Drosophila melanogaster: one gene and its partners. Changing the gene in region 1 together with any one later gene gives a genetic interaction. Each region holds a gene or a part of one and is shown on either strand. Other genes may lie near its edges. The genes, in order: Mhc, wupA, bru1 and up.

Evidence for each region.
Region 2: of Mhc (region 1) and wupA, changing one suppresses a phenotype caused by changing the other (phenotypic suppression), as found in Drosophila melanogaster (4 studies listed by BioGRID).
Region 3: of Mhc (region 1) and bru1, changing one suppresses a phenotype caused by changing the other (phenotypic suppression), as found in Drosophila melanogaster (one study listed by BioGRID).
Region 4: of Mhc (region 1) and up, changing one suppresses a phenotype caused by changing the other (phenotypic suppression), as found in Drosophila melanogaster (2 studies listed by BioGRID).

What each region holds. Positions count from the first base shown.
Region 1 is NT_033779.5:16,763,229-16,771,106, reverse strand, and holds the start of Mhc (myosin heavy chain), read right to left. Parts: upstream 4,374-7,878; 5' UTR 4,351-4,373; intron 4,182-4,350; exon of another isoform or gene 3,997-4,181; intron 3,331-3,996; exon of another isoform or gene 3,148-3,330; intron 2,524-3,147; 5' UTR 2,427-2,523; coding exon 2,223-2,426; intron 1,961-2,222; coding exon of another isoform or gene 1,817-1,960; intron 1,649-1,816; coding exon 1,505-1,648; intron 651-1,504; coding exon 270-650; intron 197-269; coding exon 133-196; intron 65-132; coding exon 1-64. UniProt on the Drosophila melanogaster protein: Muscle contraction.
Region 2 is NC_004354.4:18,111,611-18,119,435, forward strand, and holds the start of wupA (wings up A), read right to left. Parts: upstream 5,216-7,825; 5' UTR 5,097-5,215; intron 3,125-5,096; exon of another isoform or gene 3,037-3,124; 5' UTR 3,016-3,036; coding exon 3,001-3,015; exon of another isoform or gene 2,996-3,000; intron 2,923-2,995; exon of another isoform or gene 2,834-2,922; intron 2,313-2,833; coding exon 2,130-2,312; exon of another isoform or gene 2,120-2,129; intron 1,966-2,119; coding exon 1,837-1,965; intron 1,772-1,836; coding exon 1,648-1,771; intron 1,053-1,647; coding exon of another isoform or gene 952-1,052; intron 429-951; coding exon of another isoform or gene 328-428; intron 1-327. UniProt on the Drosophila melanogaster protein: Troponin I is the ATPase inhibitory subunit of troponin in the thin filament regulatory complex. Involved in the development and maintenance of muscle and nervous system. May also be involved in the cytoskeletal apparatus.
Region 3 is NT_033779.5:12,202,078-12,210,090, reverse strand, and holds the start of bru1 (bruno 1), read right to left. Parts: upstream 4,249-8,013; 5' UTR 3,961-4,248; intron 2,383-3,960; exon of another isoform or gene 1,876-2,382; coding exon of another isoform or gene 181-1,875; exon of another isoform or gene 1-180. Other genes in the region: CG31759 (uncharacterized protein), read right to left, coding at 181-1,875.
Region 4 is NC_004354.4:13,597,501-13,605,571, forward strand, and holds the start of up (upheld), read right to left. Parts: upstream 5,079-8,071; 5' UTR 4,918-5,078; intron 4,866-4,917; exon of another isoform or gene 4,729-4,865; intron 4,155-4,728; exon of another isoform or gene 3,868-4,154; intron 2,618-3,867; 5' UTR 2,593-2,617; coding exon 2,570-2,592; intron 2,281-2,569; exon of another isoform or gene 1,961-2,280; coding exon of another isoform or gene 1,958-1,960; coding exon 1,916-1,957; coding exon of another isoform or gene 1,912-1,915; intron 677-1,911; coding exon 674-676; intron 1-673. UniProt on the Drosophila melanogaster protein: Troponin T is the tropomyosin-binding subunit of troponin, the thin filament regulatory complex which confers calcium-sensitivity to striated muscle actomyosin ATPase activity.

The DNA of each region.
Region 1 (7,878 bases):
TAGAAGATGTGGTAGGAACGCTCCAGGGACTGCTGGGAGATGACACGAGCCTTCTCCAGCAGATCTGTAATGGTAAGAGTATGACATTAGGATCCGGATCAATATTCACAACGTATTAAAGTGACAACTTACAGGTCTCAATATCAGCACCAGCCAGTTTACCAGTGGGTCCGAAGTGGATACGGATGAATTTACCCTGGTTTGCAAGGGGATAAGTTCAAATTAGTTCAGTTCCAACATGGTGATCTATCGAGTGCGGGACTACTTACGAAACGAGAGGAGTTATCGTTACGCACGGTCTTGGCGTTACCGAAGGCCTCAAGCACAGGGTTGGTCTGCACAACCTGATCTTCCAGGGAGCCCTTGCTCTTGGCGGCCTCATCGGTCTTCTTGGAGGCACCAACAGTGGCGAAGTACGCAATGACCTTCTTGGTGTTCTCAGTCTTTCCGGCACCAGACTCACCGGTGATCAACATAGATTGATTCACGTGGTTGGTCAACATGTCGACGTAGGCACCGTCAGAGATGGCGAAAATATGGGGTGGCACCTCATTACGGCGCTTGCCACGGTACATCTTAGCGCAACGGTTGGTATACACGGGGTAACGCTTGTAAGGATTGATGGCAACGCAGAAAAGACCGGAGTAGGTCTGTTTTTTTGGCCAAGAAAGATGGGAGAGAAGTTGCTTGTTAATATCGTGAAGATCTTTGCATAAATTCATATATGTTAGAATCGTTGGAAAGTTAGTTTTTGTATCGGGCGATTCAGAGCCACTCCAGTTGTCTTTTGTAGTTTTTAGCAACTGTTTCGGTTTTAAGTTTTCAGTTTTCCGAGTGCTCGTAATCGCTCCATAGACAGAGGAAAGTTTCAAATAAGTTTTTCTTATAATTACGATTTTTAGTAACAGTTTCGGTTGTCTTTTGGTCTACCAGTTTTTTGGTGTTCGGTTTTGTGTTATAAGTAATTTAAAAAAAAAAACTAACTACGATGTTTCAGGATACTTGTTTAAAGTTTTTTTCTGGTTGGATTGGGGTAATGATTGATGGTCTGCTTGGGGGTTTTCAGCTCGACTTTCATTGTGCGTTGAGAACCAATTCTTGTGGCTTTGATTGTGTGGTGTGTGTGCTGTGTGTAGAACCGTTTTCTTTCCAGTTGTGCGGTTCATCCGACTGGACGGCCAAGATTCGTTTTAATACAAGCTGGATTAGTGCATACGTCACAGGAAATGAGGAATTAGCTGGGGTTATGTTTTTTTTTTCATAGGGCTTAATAAAATGAGTTTCATAAGTCCGAAAAAGGAGCGAATGACTAAGGTTAGCAGTCTACTCAATTGCGTTAAATACTTCAAAGCTTCGGAGACTAGTTGCAGCTCTAATCGAATTTTGAAAAATTTTGGGATGTTTTTCTTTTTTTCATAAGTGTGAGTGATTGGCGGTAGATAAGCGGTTGGGTAAGAACATAGAACGCATACTTGTGTGCCACCCTTGATCGGCAATTACTTACGTAGATCAGCTTGTTGTAGTATCTCTGTCTCAAGTTATGGAGCACAGAGGCATCGTTAAGGTATGTCAAGTTGGACATATCCTCGGCTTTTTCGTATTTCGGGGGGTTCACTTGCTGGAGCAGATCTTTCTTTAAGTCTCGTGTCTGTTTATCATTTTCGTTCGGTTTGTCGGATTCAGTTCGATTGGTTATGTTTAGTTTTTGTACAACATTTGTTGGTTAGACGTTGGGTTAGCAGTTCGTTTTTGAGATTGAGAGAGAGAGAGAAGAGATACCCATACATTAGTGAGTTTCTGGCAGTACAACACTTACGTAGATGAGCTTAGCATAGTAACGCTGACGCAGATTGTGCAAAACGCAAGGAGTGTTAAGCACGGTCATGTCGGCCATATCTTCAATTTTTTCGAATTTTGGTGGATTGACTTTTTCCACCTTCTCGGATTTGATATCTCGTACCTAATCGTATATGTAGGCGAAATCTATAGTTTCATTCTAATTTTGTGGCTACATTATAAGCTATTGAAGTGTATGAGGTCATGACAAAGTCCCAGTCTTATGCTATCCATTGAAAAACCCTTCTTGTAGTAGTAGTAGTAGTACCAAGAAGATTTTCCCATTGGGTAACAATTGACTAACACTTTAGGTCGACCATAAGACTCTTCAATAGCTTTTTTTTTTTTTTTTTTATGCTGAAGCCTCGTGTAGACGATGACTTTACCTCTCCACCCTGCAGACCAACGGAGACGATATCGCCCTTGGTGGCCTTGATCTCACCAAGGAGATAACCCTCCTTCTCGTCGGGGATCCAGCAAGACTTCTTCGAGTCATAGGGTTTCGATTGATCGATACGCCTTTGCTCCAAAGACACGAACAGGTATGGGGTGGGATCCTCATCCTCCTGATTTGCGACTGGCTTCGGCATCTTGCTTAAATTTCGTTTAGAAACTTAAAAACTCGAAAAATAATATTGGGACTTTTCAAAATTTCTTTGTTAATCGCGTCGTGAGCCCAAAACTTCCCTGTAAATATACAAAAGAAAAATAATATTTATTATATGGTTCTCAGAAAAGCATACTATTTTTGGAATTTTGTTTCGAAGTCTGATTCTTTTATGGATTTTATGCTTTTGACCCATTTTGACAGCAGCAGCAATAGCGGACACTATAACAGTTCTACGCGTGTGTGCGTGGATAGGATTTCGAAATTTAATTTCGATTTCCAAATATGAACATTTTTCCCGTTTCGCGCTTTCGAAATTCCCGTTACCGTAACCGGATATTTATTTATGTGTGGCTTTGATTTTATCTCACACCTCAAAGTTAATTAGGCCTGGTCGGTGCTTGTGTTGTTGTTTTTGTTATAAACAGACAACAAGTGAATTGTGTGGGTTGTCGCCTAAATATAGATCACGGATCCGATACGAATATGTATATGTATACCACTTATATATATATATATCAGAATGCTTTGCATATATACGGATTTTCGGGGCGTTGGTATTTGTTACGTAACGCCAATTTTCATTTAGATATTTGTGTACATTTCTCCAGGTTTCTTTGTGAAAAAATCTACAGACTATTGATACGCCAAAACAATGCTTATTATTACAAATGTAGAGAGGTTAAACTGTCACCACAACTCACTCAACTGGTAACTACTACCGTTTGGAACGCGATTTCGATATTTTGAACAGGTATCTCGATATGGTGGCGTGTTCTCATACAAGCAATTCACGAGATCGCAATGATTCCTTTCAGTAAACTTCGAAGGCGGAACGATTTTCGACAATCCACACTAAATCGACAATCGAAAATTCGATTCGAATTGACGCGAACTTTTAACGAATGCGTTATTTTTAAAATTCTCGAAATTATTTCGAAACTAAAGTCACATACATATTCGTCTATATGTAATTCGTAATTTCGAGAAGCTTTTTGGCTCATGCTACCACATGGCACACATAGACATAATGTATAAGTATTGGCGATCTCTTTCTAATGTCTTTGGTTATTTTTAAAACATATTCGAAATTATTTCGCCCATGTATATGAGCCGACAACGAATTCGAGTATTCTAAATCTATTTTCTATAGTATGCATACGCATATGTCTCGGCCACACAGGTATTTGTGTATGAAATCATTTCGCCAGTAATTCGAAATGGCTATTACAGCATTTCGAACTCACATCGAAACACGAATTTTTCATTTGATGAAGTAACAGCTGGCTGTCTCTTTCTGACATTTAAATGATCTATTTGCTTTAGAATTTTTTAAGTAGTCGAAATTTAGAACGATGAAAGTCTTTTATTCCAAAATTCTTGGGCGAGAAAGGATAAACTAGTTTTTTGTGAGAGTCCTAAAAGTAAGAAAGAAGTTTCCTTATATCCTTGTTACTTCACTTTCAGATTTTTTCGCTGATATGATCGAAAGTCAAAGATTTGTTACACAAGAAGTTGAAGATAGTTGCATACTTCTCAGAAAACAAATTAACGCCTATAGGTTATGTTAAGTAACTGATGTACTTCCTAAGAAAAGATTGTTATTTGTAATCCAATTCGATACGATAATCCGAGGTATTCCGGTTCACTGTTCTGATTGTCACAGAGTTTTAATAGATCCGTTTTCGCTCGGATCGTAGTTAAAGCACCACACACACACTTTTTTAAATTTCTCGATTTTGTTGCATATATAAATATATATAGGTAGTAATAATTATTTTAGTTTTATGCTTTTTGACCAAAAGGTCAAATTGTTGCTGCTGCCGCTGATGCTGCTGCTACCGCTACTGCTGCTGGGTGGTAATATCCAAAAATCAGAGATCGCACATCAAAGGTGTTGCACTTACGCGCTCGAAAGCCGTTCTGAACCGTGCAACCGGTAAACTTGCCTTTTATACGGGGCAACTTGATACCCATGGATCCCGTAAGACCCCGAAAGCTTTTCGATTCGACGATCGGTGTGCGTGGCGCTGTTTCTGTTTCGGTTTTTCTTGCTCCCTTTTTCGGTCTAGCACTTGGCTGCTCTGATTCCTATTCCTCTTCTCTAGCAAGTGGGCATTTCTATGGGGGATTGCGGGATGGTGGATATGGTATATGTGTGAGCATATGATGCAATCAGGATCGTTGCGGAATCGAGAGCGGAAAGCTCCTTCTCCGACGATTGCCATTGCGTAGGCTCTCTCGCAATTCTCCCATTAGTCAAATAGTAAAATTCATTTCAATGACAACTTTTCCGCCGTGAGGCAATTCTTCTCCGCCGGAATCCCTCGCTCTTTCCAAGGGGAGCTTTCTTTTTACTTATTTCACATATCATTTCTAGACGCACACATGTGTGTATGGCATGGCATGGTGGGATCTTTATTTGTTTTTCTCGGTGATCATTTTTCGCTTTTTGTTCTGGTTTTGGTTTTTGGTCACCTCAATGCCAATCCGATCTGGCACCAATGTGGGTGGAATACAGGGGGAATGCTTGCGATCAGGCGGCGCTATGTGGTTTTCCTCCTAATCTGCGATCACTTTACGATCAGTGGCTAAACAGCTGTTCGAGAAGACCGATCGTATGCTATCAATGGCTACAAACATTCGTTTGGTCATCGTTCAGTTGTAGAACGAAAAAACCCGATCCTTTGAGTTAATGATTGATGATCTATCTAGCCTAAGGATCGGCCATAGCAAGCACATGTCCGCCAAAAGTAATGATGTGAACTTCAAAATAACATAGATGGGCTAGAACATGCAAGCAATTGCAATGCACGCAAAAAAAACGAAATAAAACACATAGTTGAAGAGATACTTTAGATATAGATAGATAGACAGAGAAATGCCACATCAAATCAATGTAGTCGGCGTCCTTCAGAGCAATGCGATGCGAAAATCTTTAGGTTTCAATGCTAAAATCCAATACAAATACGATTGCAAATACGAGTGCATTATGAAATTCGTGTTGTAGCGATTTGTCGAGAATTTATCAAATCTATAATGCTGACAAAGAGAATTATGATAAATGCCAACAGAATTGAAATAGTCTCCCCTCTTACAACGATGTCAAATTCCGACACAGAAATTATTCATAATTTTAAGCAAAATTACAAAATTTCATGTGCAACATTTTTGGCAAAGAATTATATGATAAATGTATATACACCCACTGCAAGGTATTTTCGACAAATACTTTTCGTAATGAGTTGGTCCGTCTTGAATATTCAATATTTAACAATGATTATTGTGTAGCGGAAAAAGAATACGCAAAAAAACAACTCATGAATTCGGACAAAAACAACTTTCAAACATTTTTTGAGGAATATTTATAGTTTGAAAAAGATTTCAGTTCTCATTCAAGTGTGAGTGTTTTTTTCCTTTATTTTCGGTGCAGGGTTTGCTGCTCTCTAGTCTTTTCTCACATATAAAATTATAATACTTTTTGCTAAGTTTCTGAAACAAAATCTGTGACATTGTCGAGCAGAATTGTGGGCAAAAAGACAAAAACATAAATTGAGCATTTAAAACAAATTCCAAGAACAACAAACAACAATTTAGCACCTGACAATAAATTATTTTGGGGTTATTTGTTGTACTTGTAAAGCCAATGAGTTGGTATAAGTTAATATTTAACATTTAATAATTAATAAAAAAAACCTTTAGTTACGATACATTTTGGTCTTCTTTATTATTCTAGATGGTTCTTCCCTTGCTCCCTTAAGATATTCGATGCGAAAAAAGCGAATCCAATATTCTGCTCCCAATTTTTTGTTCGAAAAGCACAAAAACATTTTCGTTTTGAGTCATTGACGCAAAGCAATTTTTGCATTTTAGTGTCAAGATGCTGTTTCTTCTTCTTGTGTATTTTGGCACTGGTGGGCCACCAACATTTTCCCAAGAGGGGTGGTGGGGGGTGCACATGGGGTGCTTGTCTACACGAGGCAGCAACAATTATTGCTTGCAATGGGCAATTTCAAAGATGCCGCAACTTTGCGATGTGCGAGGTCCTCCTCCGCACCTGCACCACCAGCACCACCGTAAATCGCTGCCAAACAGAAGACACTTTGAATGGCGTTTCTATCGGTGGGGTAGAAACGAGGATTGGTTGTGACACAAACGCAGATCACTGGGAACTATATGGTACGTTGCTTAGTGGGTATGTCTAAGCCATAAAGTCGGTTAGTGGATCATTTGATTTTCTATTAGGCTCGTGCTCCTTTGCACAACCGATCATAAATCATCGTCAGCGATGTCAGATGGCAAAAGTAGTACGAAGATAATTTATGGGTCAAGTACATATTTAACGCAGTTTTCGAAAAGATTCAACAAAATGCAGAATTTTGGCTCAAATATTTTATAAATTTTTTTTATTATCTAGCACCTTTCTAGAGTTTTTATTTTTACAAAATTTAAATCGGATTGGTATGACAAACACATTCGGTGTTTTCAGTATCAAGTATCAAAGATTACATTTATTCATAGTTCTTATGAATAACAATAATTCTTAACTATTTATTTAAGTATAAAACTTTATCGCTGTAACGCACTGTATCATACAATTTAAGATTTGTTGGCTTAAATGTGTCTGCAATTGCAACGTGTTTCGACTCCTTCCCGCCCAATCGGTTTCTGTTCAAGATATCAGTAACCCTGCCCGAAATTTTTGTCGAATGGTATTCCCTAAAAATTCTGCACAACCAATTGGTTTACATATAATGAAAATATTTTAAAAACGCCAACCGTGACCAAAATACATGCATAGTCTATAGATAACTCTCGTCTAAATGCATTGGAACCCATCCAAATGGTCGATATAAAAATATCCATCGTCGGCCAGTTTCTTTGCAATCCCCACATCCCAGCCCCCAGCCCGTTATCCCTAATCCTCGAGCGCCGTCCGTCGGTCAACGTCGCGGACTCGGCGGCATCTGCATCGCATCTCCGGTGCACCGATCCCGTGCCCATGCCCACATCCAATTCGCGAGAGATCTCTCTTGGCAAGTTGGAGATGCAGTGAGCGGCGGAAAGTACTTGCATACATACAGACGTTGCCAGGTAGCACATGGCATGACAAATGAATGAATACTTCCTGCATTACGTGTGTGTTATGCAACAGAGGATCTGGCCATACTACGAAATATCTGGTAATTGAACGTCTCGTAAAATTATTTTCCAAGTGGTCGGGAAAATTGGCATTAGCACTTGCAACTGTCAATCCTTAAGCTACACAATTCGTATACAATATGGCAATAGATGCTGATCTTCTGGTACACCATTGTTCTCTTGATTGATCATTTACAGCGAATAATAACTTTTTAAAATAATGCGTATTCATTGTTCTATGATTGATCACATGCACTTACACAGCAAAACATAGTGTAATATATTGATAAATA
Region 2 (7,825 bases), on another chromosome or scaffold:
ATGGTATATACGATTTTCGGGTGCCAAAAACACTTCGATATTTTTTGTGGGGGCCTCGTTTGCACAGCTCTCTCCCAAAATGAAAACTAGATTCAAAAAGTACATGGTGTTAACTACGGTTTCTACGAAGTGCTTAGTTTTATATTCTTTTGTCCGCCGGACAAACACACACACTAATGTATATAGAGCTCCGAAATATTTGCATATATCTTTGGGCTAGTTGTGCTGCTGCCTCGGCTAGTGAAGTAGTTCTACATATTTAGATAGTTATCAACATGTTCTACGATCTGCGAGAGATTGAAACTATTGGAAACCGGAGCTGCTTGCCTCATAATCCTTTCTGGCTACATCGTACTCGAAATCGTACTTTTCGGACTCCAGTTTCAGTATCTTACTGTGGTAGTCCTTACAAACACTCTGAATAGTATCTGCGGAACGAAGTGTGGTTATCAAAACGGTTCGAACTGTATCTGGATATTTGGAGGTGTTGTTTGACTGTGCGTGTGTGTGTGTGTGTGAGTGCGCTGGTATTTCTTGGTGTGGGAGTGGGTGAGTGTGTTTTTGTGAGACTAATCTACTCGAGAAATGGCACCTACACTTCCATTCTTAAACAGAACACATCCTCACTGGAGTGACATATAGAAAGAGACCTGCATTAATCGGGTGAGTATACGGAGATACGGATACGGATACGCATACGGAGCTAATTGAGCCATTGAGTTTCTGTACAGTTTTTAGTGCCTGGGCGAATAACACTTTTCACGAACATATATAGAGTGTATTATACAGTAAACAGATTGAGAGTGAGATAGTGTTTTAGATATATAGAAAGAGACAGCTGACAGAAGGTGTGTTTATATTGTTGTTGTTAAGCGTTAGCTTTTGATTTTGATCGTGGATAGACTTAGGCGTATTTAGGTGGCGTATATAAAATTGGTGGTGTTCGTGTACCTCAACATCCTTGCGTTTAACAACATACTCAAGATCATATTTCTGGTCCTCCAATTTATTAATCCTGTCATAGTGTTGCTTGATCAGAGATTTGAGTGTGTCTGTTCACAATGGGGTTTTTATATTCGGTTTTTCGGAGTGGTTCGGAGTTGGTTGTGGTTGTGGAATGGGGTGTTGGTTGTGTTGGAGAGGGTTGGTGGTGGTGGTGGTGGTGGTGGTGTGTGTGTGTGGATCGATTGGATATTTAACGGGCATGGGTGCGGCAAAAGAGAGATAGAGATAGAGACACATTTAGATACATGTTGCACACAGTGGTTCAGGCATAATAAGACTATGGTTCCTCTGCGACGTCAATGTGATCCGATGTGGGAGGTCGGTTATCCTGTGTGTGTTTGGTGTGTGTTTTTGGTGTCTTCGTGTTGGTGTGTTATGTAATTGTATGTATGTATGCGATAGATGACACTTGTTCAACTTTCAGTTATCGATTTTGGTTTATGCTTCGCGACAGGCGGGCTTAAACATATTGAATGCATAAGCCGCCTATCTGTTTTACTGATTGATTTCGTTTATTTCGATTATATGGTTTTTCATCCTTTATACTTTCGAACCGTGACCAGGTGCAGGGAAACCTCTAGGGATTTCCACTCGCCTGATCAGGGATCTTAATCATTCGGTTCGAGGACCGAGGCTACTCACCTTCGCTGGCATCGCTGAGATTCCTGGGACTGCCGCAACGTTCTTCGATGATGCGTCTACGTTCAGCCGCTTTGCGTTCCTGTTCTTTCTTCAGCTCCTCAGCGGCTTTCTTACGCAGCAGCAACTGCAAGTGGAGGGCTTTGATTAGCTGGCGATCATACAAAGCGTTGGTATATGCTGGAAACTTACCCTGAGTTTCTTCTTCCTCTCTGGGGTCATGAAACCCTTCTTGGCCTTCTTGGCCTTGGAGGCTTCCTCCATGCGCTTGCGCACCTCAGCACGCTTGCGCTCGATCTCAGCCTGTTTAGCCTTCTTAGCCTGCAAATTAAATGAACGAACAATCCGGGTATCAGCATGGTTTGCTCACATCCAAAACTGGACACAACACTAGATATGATATTCGAACACAGCACTGCACAGCACGAGACTTGGACTTTGACATGGACGTTAAGTTGAACGGGCACACACGTACACAAGTGTACCTCCTCGGCCTTCACTTTGGGGTCGTTGGGATCCTTGGGCGGACCGGCGGGAGCGGCGGCAGCTGCCGGAGCAGCCTTTCCATTGGCCGCCGGAGCAGCCTTGCCATTGGCCGCCGGGGCTGCTGCCGGAGCCGCCGGTTTGGCCGCCGCCGCTGGAGCTGCGGCCGGAGCTGCTGCCTTTTTCTGAAATCAAGTTAAATGATTGCTGGTTAGTTGCAGTTCTAGGAATCGAAAAAGTACGCCAGGCTAGGAGAAAATTGCTTAAACTTCAAAGGAACTATTAACATTTCTCAATCATCCACAATTATTTAAAGTAATCAAATAGGTTTTAAACTCATTTAAATTATATAAGAATGGTCAGCCAAGTTTTATTGGTTGTAATATTTCATTGATTTTAAACTACTTTAAATAGATCTCAAATTTCTCCAGGCACAAACGCGACGATAACAAAAAAAGGGACAAAGCAAGGCACAGAGACATAGACACACACTAACGATAACAGACATGGCTTTCAGTCAGACTTGACAGTTATCATTATCTGTGCTCCTTGATCGAAAGGAAGAAATGGCTGGGATTCAGAGGGTTGCAAAGCGCAGCGATCCTGTGAAAGCAAGAGAAAGGCAAAGAAAGGCTTGGGTTGCATGTTGCGTGGTTGCAAGTGGGGGGCTGTTGAAGCTTCTGGATTGTTCGGGAGCTTTGCTTACCTAAATCCACATCCAGTCAGGTTTAATCCCGTCCAAATCACTTCCAATTTCCAAAACAGTGCTTGCGATTAATGCCCCAAAATAGTTAACTGAAGAAGAGGGTCAAAGGTTAATCAACCGTTTCTCAAAGGCGGTAGAAAGGGGGCCGTTGGAGATACTCACCTCACCTCATCATCAGCCATTTTGATTTGTGTTTTTGGTTACTGAAAGTAAGAGAAATCGAGAGGTGAACTCAAGGAACTGGAACTGGAGGCAAATGGTGAATGGTGAATGGTGAATGGAAATGTTCGATGACATCATTTCCATTGCCCTATATATACACGGCTATATGTAGGTATATACATATAAGTATGTGTTTATATATATATATATATATGTTCCATAAATCAGTCGCTCTCTCTCCCATTCGCACACGCCTACGATCTCACCGGGGTACCACAGTGCGTATGCGCCATATTGCTGGCATATGCCGCATATTACGTATACGCAGCATTGGTTCACGCCGTATATGGGAGGACAACCCCAGCAAACGCTCATTTTCCCGCTCTCTTCGCTTAGCCTTTCTTTCGCACATTTACTTTGGCGTGGGCGTCTAGCTGCCAGAAAAAGACAACTGTATTGCTTTGTGGCTTTTCTAGTTGCTCTCTTTGATATCCGATTTCAAGTGAGCAAAGAGAGAATAGCATTTCCCAACTGACCGATCTCAGCCAGCTGATTTTGTTAATGGAAACTTTCCTACGATATGTTTTCGTTTTAATCAAGCTAAAAGTTAAATCGTTAGTATAGAAGTAACTTTTACATATGCATACTTGATCAGATGATTGATCGTTGTAATGGCATTTTAAAAATACATTTTATGCTGAATAACATATTGGGAATCTTTAAGTAAACATTATGAGATTTCATCATACGAAAAACCATGTCTACATCTTGAGGAATTAATCAGAATTTATTTGCTAGCCTATCCGTATAGTATGTATATGTATACATTTTTACTGAAATGAAGTCGAAGAATTAACACCTCACAAAGTACATATATAACTTTAAAAAGTCTACTAGCGTTGAAAGTAATCGTTAAACAAATTATCTATGCTGTTAGCAATGAACTAAAATAATGTACAATGAGTCAAAAGGAGATCCGTTATAGATTTTATATCCTTTGGAAGAAGTTGTATATTTTGGGGTTTTCACACCTACAAAGCCATATGGCTTAGTAGAACGAATTGCTAGGGAGCTAGGCGTATATTTAGCCCCAGCAATTTGCGCACCTTAGCGAAGGTAAGGCGTGAAAATTTTCTGACAATGACGACCTTCGGCTATGTACACTGCGAGAAATGCACAACGAATTTAAGCATAGTCGATGTCTCCACTCGGCATACATCTGAGAATGAGAGCGAGTGGGATGGCATCTACTGTATCTAGTATCTGACTGATTTAAAAATAAACCTGTTGATAGATACACGAATCTCGGATGCGAGAAATATGGCAGCTATTTATGATTTGCCGTACAATTTGTTTATATGTTCACGGAAAAAAAATAGTCAAATTGGAGCAACGATATTCGTATCGAATATGAAATCCAAAAGTTCGGAGAGCATTTATCCAGTTATTTTACGTAGGCGACGTGTGCGTGTTGTTTCTCTGTGTGTGAGTGTATGATTTTCTGTGTGTGCGTGTGTGTGTGTGATTTTTCTCTCTCTCGGGATCTCTTGTTCTCGCTGTGGTCTATTTTCAGGCACTTTTCGAGCGATTTTAGCTTTTTTGAAATGTATCTTGTATCTGCGGGATACATTTTTAGCTTTCGGCACGCACACACACGCATACACGCACACACACACGGCAACTTCTTACGTAATTGGCAAGCCAATCCGTGAAAAAAAATTCATTGCAAAATCAAGTCAAAATAATGTTGAAAAGTATTTCGATGCAGTTTTAGACACTTGTTAACTTGTATCACTTGAAAAAAAATAGCAAAAAAATTGTTTGAAAAAAAATGTTTGAATCCTCTGGGCACACGCACACGATTTTGGTCAGGTCCAGACATACATATAAATATAAATATATATATATATATGTATAGCATATGAGAAAGGACTGAGGATTTCACATTTGTTTTTCTTTGCATTAGCATTAGCATTTGCATTTTGCATTTTGCAGTTTTCTGTTTTTCCATTCCGCTTGTTCTTGCATTGTTGCTCGTTGTCAATGTTGATGGTGATGTTTTTCTTGGCTTTTTGAATGTTGCTCCGCTTCAAGCACTCACCTTCAAGGAATTAGAAAAAAAAGAAAAAAAATTCGGCTATGCTGTCGATCACACGAATCGGATGATACTGAACGACACAAAAAGACTGAACGGTCCGACGATCCACGGCAGACTATATTCTAGCGGCTAGCCACCCAACGGATACAGATACGGATCGTTGTTGATCGGATCGCATCGTATCGCATCGTCTCGTTCGGCTCGGTTCCGTTATGTTCCGAAAGCCAAACGTTAGCCGCCCACCTGCCCACCGTCCTTCACGAACGGGCGAGAGCGAGAGAGAGCGAGAGTGGCTCGGGGGCCGGGGTTATGTATCTGGGCGTGAGATCCAAAAATAGATCCCACCAAAACTGACATGGCAGAGCACAGCCCATAAGCAAAATCGAAATGGATACCGAAAAGTGTTCGGCTCACGATCGTCGCAGCCGAGTGGCATGCCGAATCGATTCCGAATCCGAATCCGATTGCGATTGCGATTGCGATTGCGATCCCGATCCCGTAACTCCCGCCCCGTCGGAACTGCAGACCCGTAAACCACCCTATGAAAAATACCGCTTGGAGAATCTTTGTATCTCTGTATCCGCATCGGTGTTCACAATATCGTATCTGCAGTTCGATGTGTGTGCTGGTGTAAACGGAGCCGCTTGGAATTCAATGCAATGGATAAAAATAGGTTTTGTTGCTCCAGTTGGGAGGCTATGCGATGGCGGTGCAATCGGTGTGCAATGAAAAAATCAGGGCCGGCGACTGGCTGCAATCTCTGGTTTCGCCAGCCCTGGTTAAAAAACTATAAAATATTATGCTAATTCTGGAAAATCCAGGGAATAAGCTTGTGCTGGGATATGCATATATTGAATATATATTCATTTTCAATGTAATCTACTTCAACAGCAAATACTAATGAAACTAAACATTATCTTAAAATAGGTGCATGCAGCGTTATTTTAAAGATTAGATTTATAACTCCTATCGAACATTTATCCTCATAAACATAACTAATATTTCGATGAGTTGACTGAATACAAATTACTGTTTTCTTTAGAAGACTGCAGTTTTTAAGAAAAATAGGTTAATAACCCTTACATACATATATTGCTGAAAATATATTAGATAAAATTGGGGAATCCCATAGATTCTTAACTTATTTAATTTGAAGATTATTACTATTTAATCCATCCAATATCATTTCCAGGTCTTAAAGTAATTATTCCGTTTGTGTTCATTTAAAAGGTTTTTCTTAGACCGTGCCACTTTGGACTTGATCTAGAAAAACCATTTTAACGATCTGTTTCATGTTGTTCGGCTATTTATCTTGCATGTTGGCCGCTGACATAACTTTAAGCTTTCGAATAATGTGTTCCAAGCGAATCGTACGAACATATAGCCTATATCCGTCTTGTTAATATCAATGTTTTAGCTGAATTACTTTGGCATCGTCAGTCTAAATATAATGTATATACGCAATATGGCCAAATACACACATACACATATATATATATATATATATATGTATATATATATAAATTTCTATATATAATGGTAAACGGTGCGAATGACGCTGCAACACACCTACTGAAAATCACGCATACGCCCCGTAGACGAAACGCCTTGCAACTTTGGTTGAAAGTAATTTTCGAATTTCGCCAAGAACGAAAGACGAATAAAACGTTTCGATCACGAAACCATGTCTATATATATATATATATATCGTATATGAATTTAGATATACATAGACTGTCTATACGTATGTTCCGATTCTATAAACTTTCAGCAGGGAGAGCAACAACAAAATATTGTTGAAAATAATGTTGCTTTTCCCTGCTCATCTCGTTGTTCTTGGCATTTTGTGTTTCTGTTTGTGTTGCTTGTTTTTGATTTTGCCACGGCTTGTTCTAGCTCTATTTCGAAATGTATTTTCGATGATTTCTATTTTGTTTTTCCCCATTTAAATTTAGAATATGGCTTCCAGGGGGGAAATCGAAAAAACGGCGACTGCGGAAGGGCAGTGGGTTAGCTTGGGGCAAAATGTTTTCGTTATTCGTAGGGAACTTGATCAGTTCGTCTATGTCTGGACGAATCTATTTTCGCCTTCATTCTCGTTCCGAGCGTTTTTAAACAATTCCGCTGCGCGCCCAAGCAATTTTTGCCTTAATTTATGAATTTCGAAAATGTTTTTCGTTTGAAAAAACACTTTTAATATTGTGCCTTATTTTTGGGCCTTTGGCAAACAGGAAATATTGAATCGGACGGGGGTGGGCTATAATGCCGACCAGTATTACTAGAAAAGCGGTAATGTCTTACAGCGTCGAAAATGTGTATACATTGGCAATAAGTAAACTTTAATAAAGCAATGTTGCAACATGGGCGGAATATTTGCACGAATCGAGGCCTTAAAGGTGGGCAGTGTGGTGTGCCCAGTGAATCGAGCTTAATTCGGGGTTAAAGGCGAACCATCGATGGTCAGCTGGCTGCGAGTGCGTCAAAGCAAAACAAACGTCATAAGCGCCCACCCCCGCCCCCCCCCTCTGAGCCGCCCACTGTGGGCGTGGCCTTGCAACGTTCGCTCTACCTGACAACTATTTGTCGCTGCTGTCGTCGTCGTCGTCGTCGTCGTCGTTGTCGTCTGCCCGCCGAACTCCCCCTCCATAACCAGAACCAACACCACTCCCCAGCTGTCGCTGACCCATTTAGGGTTATATACACACAAACAGGCACTCGCATCCTTATCCTCC
Region 3 (8,013 bases), 4.6 Mb from region 1:
AAAGGAGAAGAAGCATTTGTTAATAGGCCAGGATTTGTTGAACGAATTTTGTTTTGTATATAAAGAAGAAATGAGTATTATTACATTTAAGCATAGTATTTGGCATACGTATACATTTATTTATGCTGAGAAATCCCCGAGATATTCTTAATTTTTCTTATATGCAAGCCCAAAAATTTATCAATCTGACTTAAATTTGAGATCTGCTACAAGAGCAACATGATCGGATGGAAAAACAGCCGATGGTATCGCAGTATTGGCTTTCAACTCCTCCTCCGTTGGCAGTGGCACCACCTTTAGAACTTCGAAGCGATCGTTTTGGTAGAACACATAGTCCAAGCAACCCGCAAAGAGGGTGGTGTAGTGGGTATATTCCGGTGCCCCATAGGCTGATGCCATTTTGAAAGGCTGCGCGAGTTCCACATTCGAAACCGCCTGCTCGGCATTACTTTGCCAGTCCTCCAGTGTTTTTTCGGCGAGCTGCTCCGTCATCAGCTTGTAGATTCCACACTCGGGAACGCTATTGAAATCGCCACAAAATATTAGTCCAATGTTTTTGTGGCTACTTATGTTAAAGTCCTTTATAGCTTTGCTAATAGATTGCTCTACGAATAGCATGGAAAATCCCATTTGCAGCAGGCGAATGTGATCTGCATCCGGATGGAAATATAAATGCGTGTTGGCCACCAGAACGTAGTTATCGGTACCCTTTATTCTAAGCAAACAAGTTTGCAGAGTGGTGGACCGTTCACAGATTCGTTCTGCTAATTGTGCGTTAACTTTGATCTTATTCCAAAGGCTTTCAAATACGGGCAGTGCGGGAATATTGGACCCCAAATGCAGGATTTGAGAATCCAAGAGATCGAAGCGCGAGTTCCGAAAGAAAATTGCCACTCCCTCAGCGCATTTGCCTTTCGGGGCCATTATGCCGTGATAGTTATACGGCGGTTGTTCTAGAATTTCCTTTAAATCAAAATCAAATATTCGCTGATCGACTTCTTGTAGACAGAGAATATCGGAGTTATAACCGATGATCTCGTTGATGAACAGTGGCTTCCTATAGTCTATTTGCAGATACTTTGCCGGGCAATAGGAGAACAGAGTGCTACCGGCATAGTCACTACTGGCATATAAATCGGCCAACAAATTGTAAGACACCACACGAATTTCATTCGATTCGCTCAAAGAATTCGTGGTGTGCCTTTGGCGATCTTGGAATGGACAACGCCCGGGAGATTCCTGCACTGCAGAGTTGGTTATCTTCTCCACCACAGGACCCGTCATTCCCAGTGCATTACCCGGCGTCACCACGAACTTCAAATGGTAACCAATATCCTCAGGAGTCACTAGATATTGAAATCCTTCTCCGCACACCTCCCAATCGGTGTCTGTGGGCTTTTTGGCCTTGAACCAAACTGCTTTGCTGAACTGACGTTCTCCGAATTGTATCTGAACATTGGTGGGGTATATTACAAATCCTGCCAATATGCATGAGGGCAAAAATTTTAGGGATGAAATCCACGGTGGATTGAACACCAAATCGTAGACCGTATCTAATACCTGCAGTTTTACATTGCTGATATCTTGGGTGACGACTAGATCCTCAAATGTTAATTCATTGAATTTTTCACCATATTTGTCACTCAGAAGTTTAACATTGATTTCTGCCGGCGGTTTGATTTTTGATTTTTTGCAGGACTTTGCAAGCCTGCCAATAATATTACTCTGAATCCTGGCCAATATCGCATCAATGGGCTCATTCATCTGGCGACGGAAATTGAATTCCCGGTTTATTTTCAAATTCTCATTCACAAAGCGAAACACAATGTCCAATTCTTTGGTATCACTTGCATTTCTCAAATAAACCTTCTCCATTTTACCAGCCAAGGAAGTGCCACAAAATCTGGACAATAGCGAAACTCTAGTTGGAGTTTTATTTCCGAATAATTTATCAGAATTGCGAACTATGTTTTTAAACAAAAAAAACCCCATCAATGTTGCAAATGTTGGAGCGAAGATCGGCGTTGAAGAAGAGAACTTCTCTTAGTTGACTTGTTTTTCGCCGTTTTATCTGGGAAAATTTTGGGTTAGACAACTTTACTTGGTGCACCGATGTCGTAACAACTCACTTGTCCAGATTTAGTTGCAAAATTAATCACATTTAAGTTGTTTTACACCTATTTACAATCGGCAAACAGTCGTGTTGCACGAAAACACCGCAGAAATTAGGCGAAACTGCGCCGATTTCGATAAAAACGAAGAGAGATTTTTACTTTTTCGCTCTGCCACGCCGCGCGATCAGCTGTTGTTTTTGGCATTCACAACGAAACCAACCACATGCTCGGCATTGAGAAACAGCTGATCTTGAGAGAGCTTCTGCCATTAGCAACGTTGAAGCTTTGACGCAAAAGCTTTTAATAAAAGCTTTATTTAATTTCAAATCTTGAAAGCAAAAAGATTTCACTTAAATATTACTTTTTTTCATAAAATTATAAAGCTGATAAATATATGAAGAGTTGCTATGATCTGAAATTGAACATATCGAAGAATAGAAGATTTTTTCTATGAAATAGAAAAAAAATTTCTATATAGGAAACGTTTATTCCTTTTTTGTGGTCATTAGGAGGAACATTATTATTCGCAAAATATACACCCGAACAAAACTATAAAACCTCCTATTTCACTTCAGTTGAAAACTATTTTCACGGCAAACGTCGTAAACATTAAGCTAAGTGTTACGATCCAAATGAGACATCTTGCCCCAACGAAGGAAACTCAACTTTCGGCCAAGTTAAGAAAGGACAACTGAGACGACGGCCATAAAAATTCGAAACAGAAGCCAGATCATATGTGTAGAGCGTATTTGGCAAAGGGGTGGACCAAAGGTATGGAGCACACAAGTGCATAAAACGCCGAAACAAGCCAAGAGATGACTTGGCCAGGCCAAAAAGGAATTGGCTTGGCCCCGAAACAGAGTCAACAACTGTGCGCCACACAAGAGTTTGCCAAAAAGATTGCACTACGAAGGAGCAAATGAAAAAATAAAAATCAAAAACAAGAGAAAAATCGCATAGAACTCTATAAAGGACACAGAGGACCAAAAAGGACAACAACCTGACTGGCAGGGCAAACGAAACCAGTTGAAGAAATGTTGCTGACACCAAAAACGAAACTGCAGGAAGACGCCGATGATGAGGATGAGCCAGGGAATGAGGCTAAGCCCGAGGATGCAGAGAGCATCCTTGGGCCCGAGATGTGGAGCAGAGGCGGTAAGGACAACAACGAAATTAGTTAGCACTTGAGAGAAAGCAGCTTTGGCTCAGTTCCAGGACTCGTTGCTGGCTTACAACACCTGCGGGAAAAAGAAGAGGACTTTTAGCTGCTCCTTCTGTTCCCTACTCCTTTCCTATTGACCCGAACCAGAGATGGCCAAAAAGCTTCGATTAGACACAGTGGATGGAACAAGGACTAGAAACTAACTATAAGTCATTTAAGAGTTTTACATATTGAACATTTTTTAAGCAATATTATATACACTTTTCAAAAATTTACCAGCATTTATATTGAAATTAAGTATAGATGATTATATTCGATAGTATATTTCTGAGATATAAAGATTAAAATCCACCAAAAATCAGCAAAATAGTTAGCTCATCTTCGACAGAAGTGGTGAAAAGCAAGTTCTTGGAGGCAGGCGGCAGCAATTAAATAGCTTCGAGCACTCCGAACTCAATTGCAGCAATTTCAATAACCGTCGAGGACACTCAAAGGACGGCAAGGTCCTTGCGATAATCTGTCATGCAGCGTGGAAGCCCAAGCACCGTGTCGCACACACCCACTCACACACACACAGCACACAGGACGAGTTCACAGCACACCAACCCACTTTCCATTCACACTCAAGGACAACTAGAATATCCGCTTTTGGTCTGAACACTTGAAGAACTTTCTTGCACTCACCTATTTCACTTGCTGCGGGAATTTGCTATATTTCTTCTTATTTTCCTTTTTACACTTGTAGAATTTGTAGCCGAAAGCGGATAACTGGGCTATTTCATTTGTAGTCTTGTGGGGGTAAATACTTTGTATATTTTTTTGTAGATTTTCTTCTTAAGAATTATTGATAAAAGCATGGAAGAGTGACGCGGTACGGCCGAAAGGTTAACACATTGAGAATTTTGCCACCAATAAGCCGAAAAATTGATAAACTTTTATAAAATTATATGTACGTTACACAATCTGATTTGGAAACACTACAACTAAAAATCTATATTGAATCGATTTGACAAGCGTTAGCGCAGCCAACTGGGATGCAAAGCTCTCGCTGTTCATTTTTTATTTTTTATGAACTTTGCTAAAATAAAACTAAATTAAATTTAAAAAAAAGCAAATGAATTGGATACCATAATTGATTGCTATCACTGATTCATATCAGTCGTTCAGCTCACCAAGTCGAACGTTTGACATTAGCAATAAATGAATCAACAAATATAAAAGTTTTGCCAAGAAAGTAATTTGCTAAAATTGGCGAGTCGAGAAAGAAAGTCAAGAGGGTGAGTGGAAAAAAAACCGAAAGAAATTCAATGAGGCTGAAAATTTCCTGGCTCGATGCCAATTGAAGGCAAAGAAAGAAAACAAAACTCGAGTTTCTAATCAATTAAAAAATACAACGAGCGGCGGCAGGGGCAAATCAAGAGTAGAGGGTACGATTTTCGGCAATAAATAAATTACAACCAGCATGCAGTCAAAGCGATTAAATTGAAGGGGAGGCTTCCAGGACTATCTGATGCCGAAGAAAGTACAAAACTTCACTACGTCTGGTGCAATTTTAATTACGACTGCGATAGGAGCAGGTCGAAAGTAATGGCAAGGAGCAAAGACACCAGTCACGAGATACACAAACTCGTTGCGACTGCGAGAATACCCCGTATCTTATTGTGTTGTTTATAGAAAATGTAGGAAGCTACTTTTTGATGATTACATGGAGTCTTTCTTTCAAATTTGCATGAATATTTCGAAGAATATTTACATGAATTGTTTGAAATCATTGCTATATGGTTGTAGATTTAAAATTTCCAAAATAAATACTACTATAAACGTTAACAAATTTTATAAAGATTATGTTACTTATATATTATTATATTATATATTTTCTCCTCATATTTCAATTTCCAAAACCCTAATATGATAATATCCCTAATATCCTAATATATCCCTAACTTAAAACTTCTTTATAGTACCATTTACAAATGAATTAAATTTTAAATCGATTTCAAAAAGGCTTTTCTTGAAATGTCCTTTTGTCATTAATCAAAAAAAAATCTCTCAGTTGCAAATTTCTTTATCGTAAATGCAACATGATATTAAAAAAAATTAAAAATTAAAAAAAAAAATTGGTAACCCATATTTGATCCAAATTACTCCATGTGTAATATATCCTTAGCGCAACTTTTACAGGGTATAGCAGGGCGAAAGGCGCCGAGTCGACTAATCCTTTGGCAAAGTCTTTGACAGTTGTCTTAGATTGCACAACAACAAAGAGGAGAAACACAATAACATCTTCATTATTATCATTATCATTGTTTCCAGCACTGTGGGATGAAAAAGTACAATAAACGAATAAGTACAATAAATAAGCAAACGAAGAAACAACAAACATTATCGCACATCATTATCGTTGTCATTCAGAGAGCGTCGTTCCAGCTTAAAAAAGCCAGCCCAACAAATATATGTATATATATATATACCTATATATATTTGCTTTATTTTGGTGTTTAGTTAGTTTTTATGAGCGTCATTATTTTCGCTTGCCATGGCGCTAAGCATCTTAAGTGGCTCCTGCTCCCGCATTTCCCTCCTATTTTTTAGTGGAGCACTTTCCTCGTGTATTTGTTTTCATAGGCGCAAAATGTCTTCGTCAACTTTTGACGATTTTATAATTTAACTTTTGCCGGGAGAGCTCCTCCTTTTCTCCATTCCTCCATTTCCGCCCGCCGGTTTTTCCTCTTCCTAGTTTCGAAAACAACTTAATAATAAGTGAGTGCTGAGTGCTGGTTGGAGGAAAGTTGACTTGGTTAGAGAAAGACGCCTGCAATTAAGGTGGCACCACCAAGGCTGTGTATTTTTGTTGGGTCTTTTGGGCTAGGCAATTATTACAGGGGATCCAGTGCATTTAGAAAGTTTTCTGTGCGGAAATAATTGTCAAGGATAACCATGGTAATTGTAGGGAAAAACTGATAAACTGAAAAGCAAAGCTCGTTGCTCATTGTTGTCTTTTGCACACAGAATTCTGAGCAAAATGTTACTAAAATAGGGGCATTGCAAATGCAAGAAGCCCATACGAACGTATTTTCTGAAGACAAATTAACAAATACATTATCATTAAACATTAAGTACTCATATTTGCTGGTCAATTATGCATTAAGATACTCAAAATTCCATGATATTTAGGCACATTAAATAAACAACATACTAAAGATTATAAATATATTTTTTAAATTATATGTATTCATTGTCACAATTAGGCCACAAAGCCCTAACAGGAACGTTTTTTTAAGATCTAGCGAATTGTATTCTATTTTAAAAACTTTATTCTAGTAATATAACCCAATGACATTTAAAAGCTTCTTAATATAGAAAATAAAATAAATTGGGTTGGAGAACAAATAACTTATTCCTTTGAATAGCATTCAAGACATCTGCAAGTGAAGTCTACTACGTTAATGCCATCTCCATTTAATACCTGAGCTTACTCACCTGTTAACTTAGCCCAAAAGGGTTGTTACCAAACTAATTTCAGGTCCTAAAAGTTTACTCTAAGTTAGCTAATTTGATTAAGGTAAATGGACTGGCCAGCTGTAAAGGCATAATGTTTAAGATACAGCCATTTAAATACAGCCATTTGCATACATCACTCGCAGGCATCGTCATCAATATAAATTTGTTTTGTCAGAGCTGCTTTATTTTGTAAATATCGAACAAATGGCTTGGAACATAAGTGAAGCATATGTTGAAAGCTGGAGGAATCGTATACGAAAAGCGTAAACAAGCTGCTTTTCATGTTTGACATGCGTTAGGAAAAAAAAATGAAAGAACTAGGAATCCACATTTTCAACATATTACACACAGTCAAGCAAGTAAAAACAATAAAAAAAATACATACAAAACAATCACAATTCACACAAAGAAAAAACAATGTTAAGAACACTAAAGGACCCATTGCAAAAAGGTTGCTAGCGAGCGAATAAAAAAGAATCTTTAAGCTTCTTTTTTATCTGCCCCCACAAACATTGAACTTTATGTGCGAAGCACTGCAGCACCACGCCCCCTTTTCGTTACCATTATAATGAAACATCTATAAATTGTCAGCCACTTTCATCGATTCTCGGCTCCTCAGCTACTCGCTTCTGTTCGGCGATGTCCTCTGGAGGACCATAAATAATATTATTATGGCTCCAGGAGGCAACTTGTATTTGTCAAAGCAAACAGAACTGCTGGAGCTGGAGCAGGAAGAATCCTTTCCGATAGCTCCATTTGGACGCATGCCTTCCCTTGTTAACGGCATTATTATTGGCAGCCATTATTCATGCAACAAGTGATGCTCAGTGGCAGAGCGGCAACTTCCGTCTAATTACGGCTAATTGAATGGCTCTAAGTTCCGGGATTTGTCAATTGATTTGTAGTGGGATTTCCGTATATAAAATGCCAGAGTACCAGTGTATTCAAATATCGAAATTGCGAGTACAATTATTTATATTGTTTCAACCAGATGATAATCCTGATTGCAAAAAATTAACGCCACAAATAAACCAAACAAATCTATAAATTCGCATGTGAACTTTATTATTTATTTATATATTTGCGGAACAAAAAAAAACATGTATCGATGAATTGAATAAAAACTTGTGAAATTAATCTGTCACTCGAGGAAAGCTGATATGCACATAACAACGTTTTAATCAATTATAATGCCATAAAAAAGTAAACACAAGGATAAGGAAACCTTTATTGGCA
Region 4 (8,071 bases), on another chromosome or scaffold:
ATTCACGATGGTTTCGATTGATTGATTGATATTTGTTGTGGGTTTCGGTTCGAAAAGTTCATACAAAATGCGATTGTTTTCGTTATTTCAGTTTTCAAACAAAAAGGAACGTTGAAAAGAAAGAGAAAAACGGTTGGTTGTTTTAAAAAATTCATTTGCAAAATATATTGGTTTGTTTGTTGTTTTTTTATTTTTCATTATTATTTTTTTTTTTTTTTTTGGTAAACGAAATGAAAGAAGAAGATAAGATGGAGAATATATATAGAGAGATATTTGCATAAAAGGTTGAAAAGAATAATTAATTTTGTAATGGTTGGTACGTAATTGTTTTTGGTTTGGTTTTGTTTGTTGTTTTCTGGTTGGTTGTTGTTCTAAAGAAAACTCAAAAATGATTCCAAGCAACGAATCTTTGTACAGTATGAACTGGAACTGGTACTGGAGCTGGTTCTGGAACTGGAACTGGTTCTCTGATGCATATGGAGCAGAAATGCACACACAAAAACTTGAATTTTTGTTTTCAATTTTTTTCAGAAATTGGCAAACGAGCATATACGTAATTTTGGGGCCAGGCAAAGAGTAATTTGGGGAGAAAAAAAAACTTTTATACAGATATGTGGGATCTTTATAGGTCTTTCTTTCTTCGTTTCATTGGTTTCTCACACAATTTACTTACTTCCTGCAACAAGAACGAGATCAAAAAGAGATGGAAGAGAGAAAGAGAGAGATAAACAGAATTGATATCAATGATTTCCAAGTCTTATAGGCAACAACACTTTTGCTAAGCCAGGCCAGCGATAGGCAGAAAGTTAACTTTTGGTCAAAAGTCTTTTTTTTTTTAGAATTTGGAAATTGCGTTTTACGGCTTTGGAAATGTATTATCTTGTGGGGAGAGTCGGGAGATACGATGGTAAAAAAATAGATAGACAGATAGACAAAAGACGTGTTACAAGTGATACAAAAATACACAGTAAAAATCCGACTGGGTTCAAAATAATAGTTCAATTATTAAATGATAATCAAATATACGCAATGGATAAGTGGATGTTTAGTTGTTTTTAACATAAAATTGGTATTAATATTAATAAATTAATCAATTTTTGTCTATTTTGTATCAATCTTATTAAAATCGATGACTTTTCCGAGCTACGTATACGCAATATTTGTTCTATTTTTATAGAAAATTACTACTACCATTATTTTGAACACAGTTTCATACACATGTGGTGGGTGGTGGTGGTGGGGATACACACAGCTTTTATATACACAATTTGCCAATTTTTCGCTAGGTTTTTTTTTTCGGGAGGGGGTATGAACTATGAACTCGCTGCTTGAGTGGGTGTGGGGTGAACAGTGGGTGGGTGGGGTTTGCTCTCGGGTTCCATTAGTAAATTTTGTACAATTATCGGATATTGATTTTGTGATCGTATACTTTTAATTCTAAATTCAATTTTGGTTTTTATAGACACACAACAACACATTGAAAACAAAAACCAAAAGAAATAACAAAAATGTACACAAAACAGAATAAAAAATAAAAACTAAAGATAAATTAATAAACAAATAAAATTATTTACAGACGAGTACACAAAACAAAAATGTTGGGTTGGTTTCGGGTTTCTGGGTGTTTTTTTTTTTTCAAATCTTTTTTGGGGAATACATATTTCTACCAATTTTAAAAAAAGGGTGGTTTTTTATATTGCAGACATTGACAAAATACAACACATATAGAAAATTTGGAATACAAAATGGTGGGCAAGGTTCGGTTTCGAAAAAAATCAAAAAATTTGTTATAGTTAGGGCAAAAACAAAAAAAAAAAAAAGATAGACATAAGTGAACACCAATCGAGTTCTTTAGGCTGCTGCACCAAAACCAACAAAAGATGTCGACAAAAATCGGCAACAAAAATGTACTTACGTCTCCTCGCGGGTTTCCTCGACAACCTCCTCCTCCTCGGAGCTGCTTTCGAGTTCGTAATTAAACGAATTTTGGTTTTTTTTTATATTTTTTGGTTTAAGATTTTTGAATAAGGTGTTTTTTTTTATATATATATTTTGGAGTGAAAGTGCAGGGTTACACACGGCACACGGGTGCAGAGGTGATATTGTTGATTTGTTGTTGAATTGTCGTGTGGTTGTTGTTGAATAGTTGTTGATTGTTATTAGTTGTTGATTTCAAAAGAAACGAAACGACAACATTAGCGGTTGTTCGAACAGATTCATGGGTTGTGGTTGTGGAGGTTTTTGGGATCGTGGTCGGTTTTTCGGTTCGGGTTCAGGGATGACAATGCGTGGAAATAGATAGAAAGGAGTACAGATCAAAATAGGTGCCACTGGTAAATGTGATTACAAAAAGTTCTCTTACAAGAATCCACAAAAATCTGATCGTTGAATTAGTTAGTACGTATAACAACAAGGGTTCAAACGAGACCATCGAATACTTCTCTTCAACTTTGCTACTTTACTTAAGTTATCTGTTTACTTTACACACTTTTAAATCTTGTTCGCGGTCATACGCGTCGTATACTTAATATTTGCATCTTGTCCTACATATTCCATGGGTTCTACTTACGTGTACTCTTCATCGTCGGACATGGCTACGGTTTAGGGTTGAAAAAACCTGCAATAACAATATATAGAAAATAAAAAGTTTAGTTTAGTCTTCAAATGCATATATTTAAGATTAAATTAGGAAGCCATTGTAATAGAATAGGAAAGACACCAAAAACGTGAATGTGTTCCATTATTATATTTCTTTTTGAATTCAATTGATATTAAAAATAATGCTTATTAAATATAACCCCTTTTTTAGCCAAAGCAGCAACAACAATAGAACAGCGAAATACAGGTGTGCAAACAAGTCAACAAATGATTGCCCTTTTTGATAACCCCTTGTCTATTTTCTATTCAGGGTTTCACTGTACTTGAAGCAGCCTTTGATCGCCCTGCGATAACTCTATATTTAGACGGATCTTTCCCCCTATATATATGTATATAATATATATGTATATGCGATTCCGCTGTGTATATGTAGGCAGGGCGACCTGTCTTTTTATAGCCGGCAACAATGTCTCGTCCTCACATCATAATCTTTCAAATTCAAGAAGAAAAAAATAAACGATAAATTCCGTACGCTCTGCTCTAAAATTATTTAATTTCCCATGCTATCTATATCCACAATCTATAACTGTGTGTGTGCGAAGGAGAGAGTCGTAGTCCAATCTATGTATGTGTGTTTTTTCATTTTCCTCCGATTTTTTCTCAATTAAAAATAGACTTTGGGGCAGTATTGAATTTCCCGAGAGCCGAAAGCTTCCGAAAACATCAAAAAGCTTCGGACAAAGCCTTTTTTGAAAATTTTCGTTTTTTTTTTTACCTTGGCACTAAATCGGAAAATCTAAAGAAGCTTTTCAATTTATATATGTATATGTATTGATATATATTTGGGCGTACTTGTGTGTAATGAAAAGAAAATCAAATCAAATGCCATTCATAGATCGCCTGTATATATCTATGCCAGTTATTATGCCACGAATTTATATATTTAATATGCTATTTGAAATTTCTATGATTATGAATATTCTATTTCTATAATCTTTGCACTTTTGCGTGGAAGTGCAATTGCTGAGCTTGTATTTTTAGCCTTAGATAAACTGGGTCAGTTTTGGGGCAAGTGCTTGGAAATGATGTGAAATGTATTGAGAAAAGTTCTGGAAAAATTGAACAAACTTTTCAATTGAAACTGGTAATGATCTAAATATCATCCGACAGACTATCAGAAATATACGTCTATCGTCTTTTCACACTTACATATACAAAAATGTTACTGATCATACATGTTAGTTTCAAAAACATGGTTTTGAATCTTACTTTTTGTCTTTTCAAGTTCAAAGTTTGAGTAAGTGTTAGCTACTTCCTGCCTAGCAACATAAAACTGTCATATGCTGTTTTTATATCCTGTCATTATATCCTTATCGAATTTACTCTACAAATTTCCCTTTCTTTAATTCAATCTATCTGTGCCCTGTTTCCATTTATAGTCCTATATATATCCTCCAAAAATCTCCAGATCTCTATTCGCCATCGATCTTGTGTGGGTGGCTATAGTTCCGTCTCGTTTTCGCCTACTATATCTTTAACATATCTGATCGGCGCCTGCGCGGAAAGCTATTGAAAAAAGTTTTCACTCTACGTATCTGTGTGTGTGTGTTTCTCTGTGTGTGTGTGTGTGTGTATCTTGGACATTTTGCCAAGGTAAAAACACACTCGCTCGCGCACACATACGAATCGAATTTATTTTTAAAATTCGTCGAAAAAAATTTGAGAACTTTTCCTCTCAGATCATATAACACTTTCAGAAAGCAAAAAGATATACATATATGTATATGTATATTTATATGTATAGATTCCTGTCTGGCATTGTTGTTGCTTTTGATTTTGTTGTTGTTGTTGCTGCTGCGGCTAATCCTGTTGTTGTAGTTGCCGTTGAATATTGTTTTTGGCGCCGCCAATGCCTGGGCGAATTTTTTCAAATTATTTTTAGCCTTTAGCCATAATAAAAAAAAAAAGTTTAAAAAAAAAAAATTTTTTGAAAAAGTTGGCTTCAGAGTTCGTTTTTTTGGTGGCTTTCAAGTCATTTATTCGCACTATTTGTTCGTAGATTGCACTTTAAAAAAATTTCAAAAAAAAAAATAAAATGTTATATAACACTAGGATTTTCCAATTCGTAACTTTCTTTTGTTGATGTTCGTGGTTCGTGGTTTATTCGCAAAGGATTCGGTTTTCTCGTTTTCGATAACTTTCTTTTCGTTTTTAGGCACACAAGTTTATTTTATATTTTCTTTTTATTTTTTTGGTGATGCAGCATTTGAAGGAGATGTGAAGCAGCAGTAGAGCAGAAACAGAAAAAAAAAAACTTACTTAGGGAGAAAAACAAATTGAATTGAAGTCCGAGCAGCTGACGTCGTAGGAGCGAATGCTGCGGTTCGACTAACCAAACTGACGATGAAAAGCGCTGCTACACGTTATGTTAAAGAATTTTTCGTCGCGTTCGCGGAAAAGCCATTTCCACGCACACACCGATCGCCTTTCTATATAGCCAATAGCTGGCCATGTGTGCGAGCAGGCCAGCGCTATATGCCACATATCGCTGGCCGATGTGGCAACAAGTGGGTGGTGGTGGGTGCGCCTGCCTGTGTTGGCTGTGTTCGATGTGTTTTGGGTGAATTTTTCAGGTGGGCTGCAGCTGAAACATAAACTTGTACACGCACACAGCCGCCGTCGAGTTTTCCAATTTTCCATTTTGGCCAGAGCGAGATGAGGCATACGATATTAGTATATACTATACATTAGACCATAATGGCGCACGCACATAACTAGATCATACAATAAGTATATAGCGCATACGGACGTTCGGTGCGTTGGCGGCATTTTACACATTTGTTTTTGGAATCAAATATCGTAGAGCATAAATTTCACAGCCATTAAAAAGTCGGCCTGCATATATTGCTCTATAATATATACGTACAGATGTTCGTGCCGATATATAGCACATATAGTTTGGATTCCTCAGCGGATCGTTGCAGCATTTGAACCCCAGAGTGCACGCCCTACAAAATCTCCAACCCAGTCCGCCGCGATCACCGATCACCCCCTATATATATATATATATATATATATATTTATTTACCTATATCTATATCGCGATCGAACTGCTGACGTCGAACGGCCTTAGGTGGCCCCATCGCATTGCCATTTGTCTAACACTTGAATCTATTCGTCATTGTTCCGATTTTCTTTTTTTATTTCTCTCCTTTTTCTATGCTATTTTTTTTATTTTACTTTCTAACAGATACTTTTGGCAAATAGTTTCAGATACACTTACGCGCCTTGCAGCACTTTAAGCTATCGAATTTAATTCATTCTTTATTGGGTTATTTTTTCGAAGCATACAAAATCAATTTGAAGAATTTGACAAAATCTCTTTTTCCTATATGTAAATTTTGCCAAAAAAATTAATTTTTTCATATCGTTTAATAAACATCATAACACATAAGAAATATTTGTATTAAGTAAGGGTAGTGAAACATATTTTGTTCTGTATTTAATTTTGTTTCTGTATTCTAGTATTAATAAAATTAAAATAAAGCAAAAACTTACAATATTTTAAAAATGTACTTTCATCAACATCGATTTCCGTTGTTTTTTTTTTTGCCAAATTTTTCATAAAATTAGATATAAATTCTAGAAGAATATAAAAAAAAAAAAAAATTTTTAGTTTTTCGCTTGCACTTGTATCTTCTTAAATTATTAATACTGCAAAAAAAAATATTTGGGCTATCTCAAAGTTCCTCAAAATCTGGGTAAAAATTTTTATACATACATGATTACATTATATATGATTACATTACATTATATTATGATTACATTACATTATATATGATTATAGAAAAATTAATTTAAGACTTCTCTTAATTCCTTGCATAAACAAGTTGTTCAAATAAATAGACTTCTGTGTAAATTAAAAACATGCGATGAATATTATTTTAAAATTATATATATTACAATATTCTCCAATAGTAAAATTACTATATAGTCGCAAAGTTTCGGCATTTGTTTTGATTTCGTTTTTGGTTACCAAGTATCTTAAATTTAGAACATTTTTGTATCTGCACCTCTGCGAAATGCAAAATGCACACACCAGATACGCAGATAGATAGATATGTATGCATAGATAATTAGATATGTATGTGTATGTGATATGTATGGGTCTAGGTATTATGCATGGCTTGCCAAAAACCACAAAACTACAGAATCGCAATGGGACACAGGTGGGCAGTTCGAGTTATCTGGGATTTAGTGCATGAAATGGTACGGGCGTGTTCTGTCCAGATATAAACGACATCTGTAAGCGCTTTTTTAGCTGCTTCCAATTTTTGCCTGCCATCTGGCTGGATTCACATAACATCCTCCGTTCAATAAACAACTACGAACCTATTGCAAACATCGGGCCAAATAGCTCAGTGATCCGTAGACCAGAAGTACGGACATGTGCAGATATATACATATGTGGGCGTGAAAGTGGGTGGAAAGTCGGGTATGCCGTATGCCGTATTCAAGTAAATTTCAATTCGCATCATCTTCTGAATGTCCGAATATCAGAATGTTAGAAAGGCAAGTCAGAATATTCGAAAATCAGGGAATAACAAATAGCACAGTTTCGAATTTTTGTTGTTCTATTTTTGGACGTTTTGTGTGGGCGCTATTCGTCTGTAGCCTTCGGTTTTTAGTGCCGATCGTATGCACGAAGATGCCCGATATAAAAAATATATATATATATATATATATATTAAAGTATGTATATGTATTTGTTTAAATATCTTCTATATGTCTATCTATAGGTTAGCTTTCTGGGGCGATGTTTACGGGGAACTGTGGCTAATATCTGCATAGATCAGGAATAACATAAACATTATCCAAGATCTGGAAAAATATTTGATTTCAGACAAGAACGATGGCCCTGGGATTATATGAATGAACAGCGTATCCAAAGTGTCGAATAATTTGAATTGATTGCAATCGGTGCAATCTTAAATAATAAGCTATTGTTGGCTGTGTCACTTGCATTTTTTTTCTACTGTGTATGATGCAAGAAAACAGTTAAAATTCTGAAATATGTTCTTTTCAATTTTAGATTTTAGTGACCAGAATAGTAAGAGCTTCCTATTATAAACTTAAATGTATTTAACACATTAAATCAATGCACTTTCCAGTTTAAAGTTAAAATATATAATTCATAAACTTTTCAATGAATAAGATCAGGTCAAGCAAACATATTTTGTAAAGAACAAACAAGCGATGTGTGCCAATTTTAGAATCTATATGTTGGATGTTCGATTTAAAAATACGCTCTAACTAAATTAAATGAAATGAAAACAGACCAATTAAAAAAAGCAAAAAAAAATTGGGGAAAAGGAAACAACGGAAAAATCCATAAGAAAAAAGACACATAGAAGAAACCCCAAGATGAAAACAGCAGAAAATATAAAAACGTTTAAGAACAGAGCCATCATAC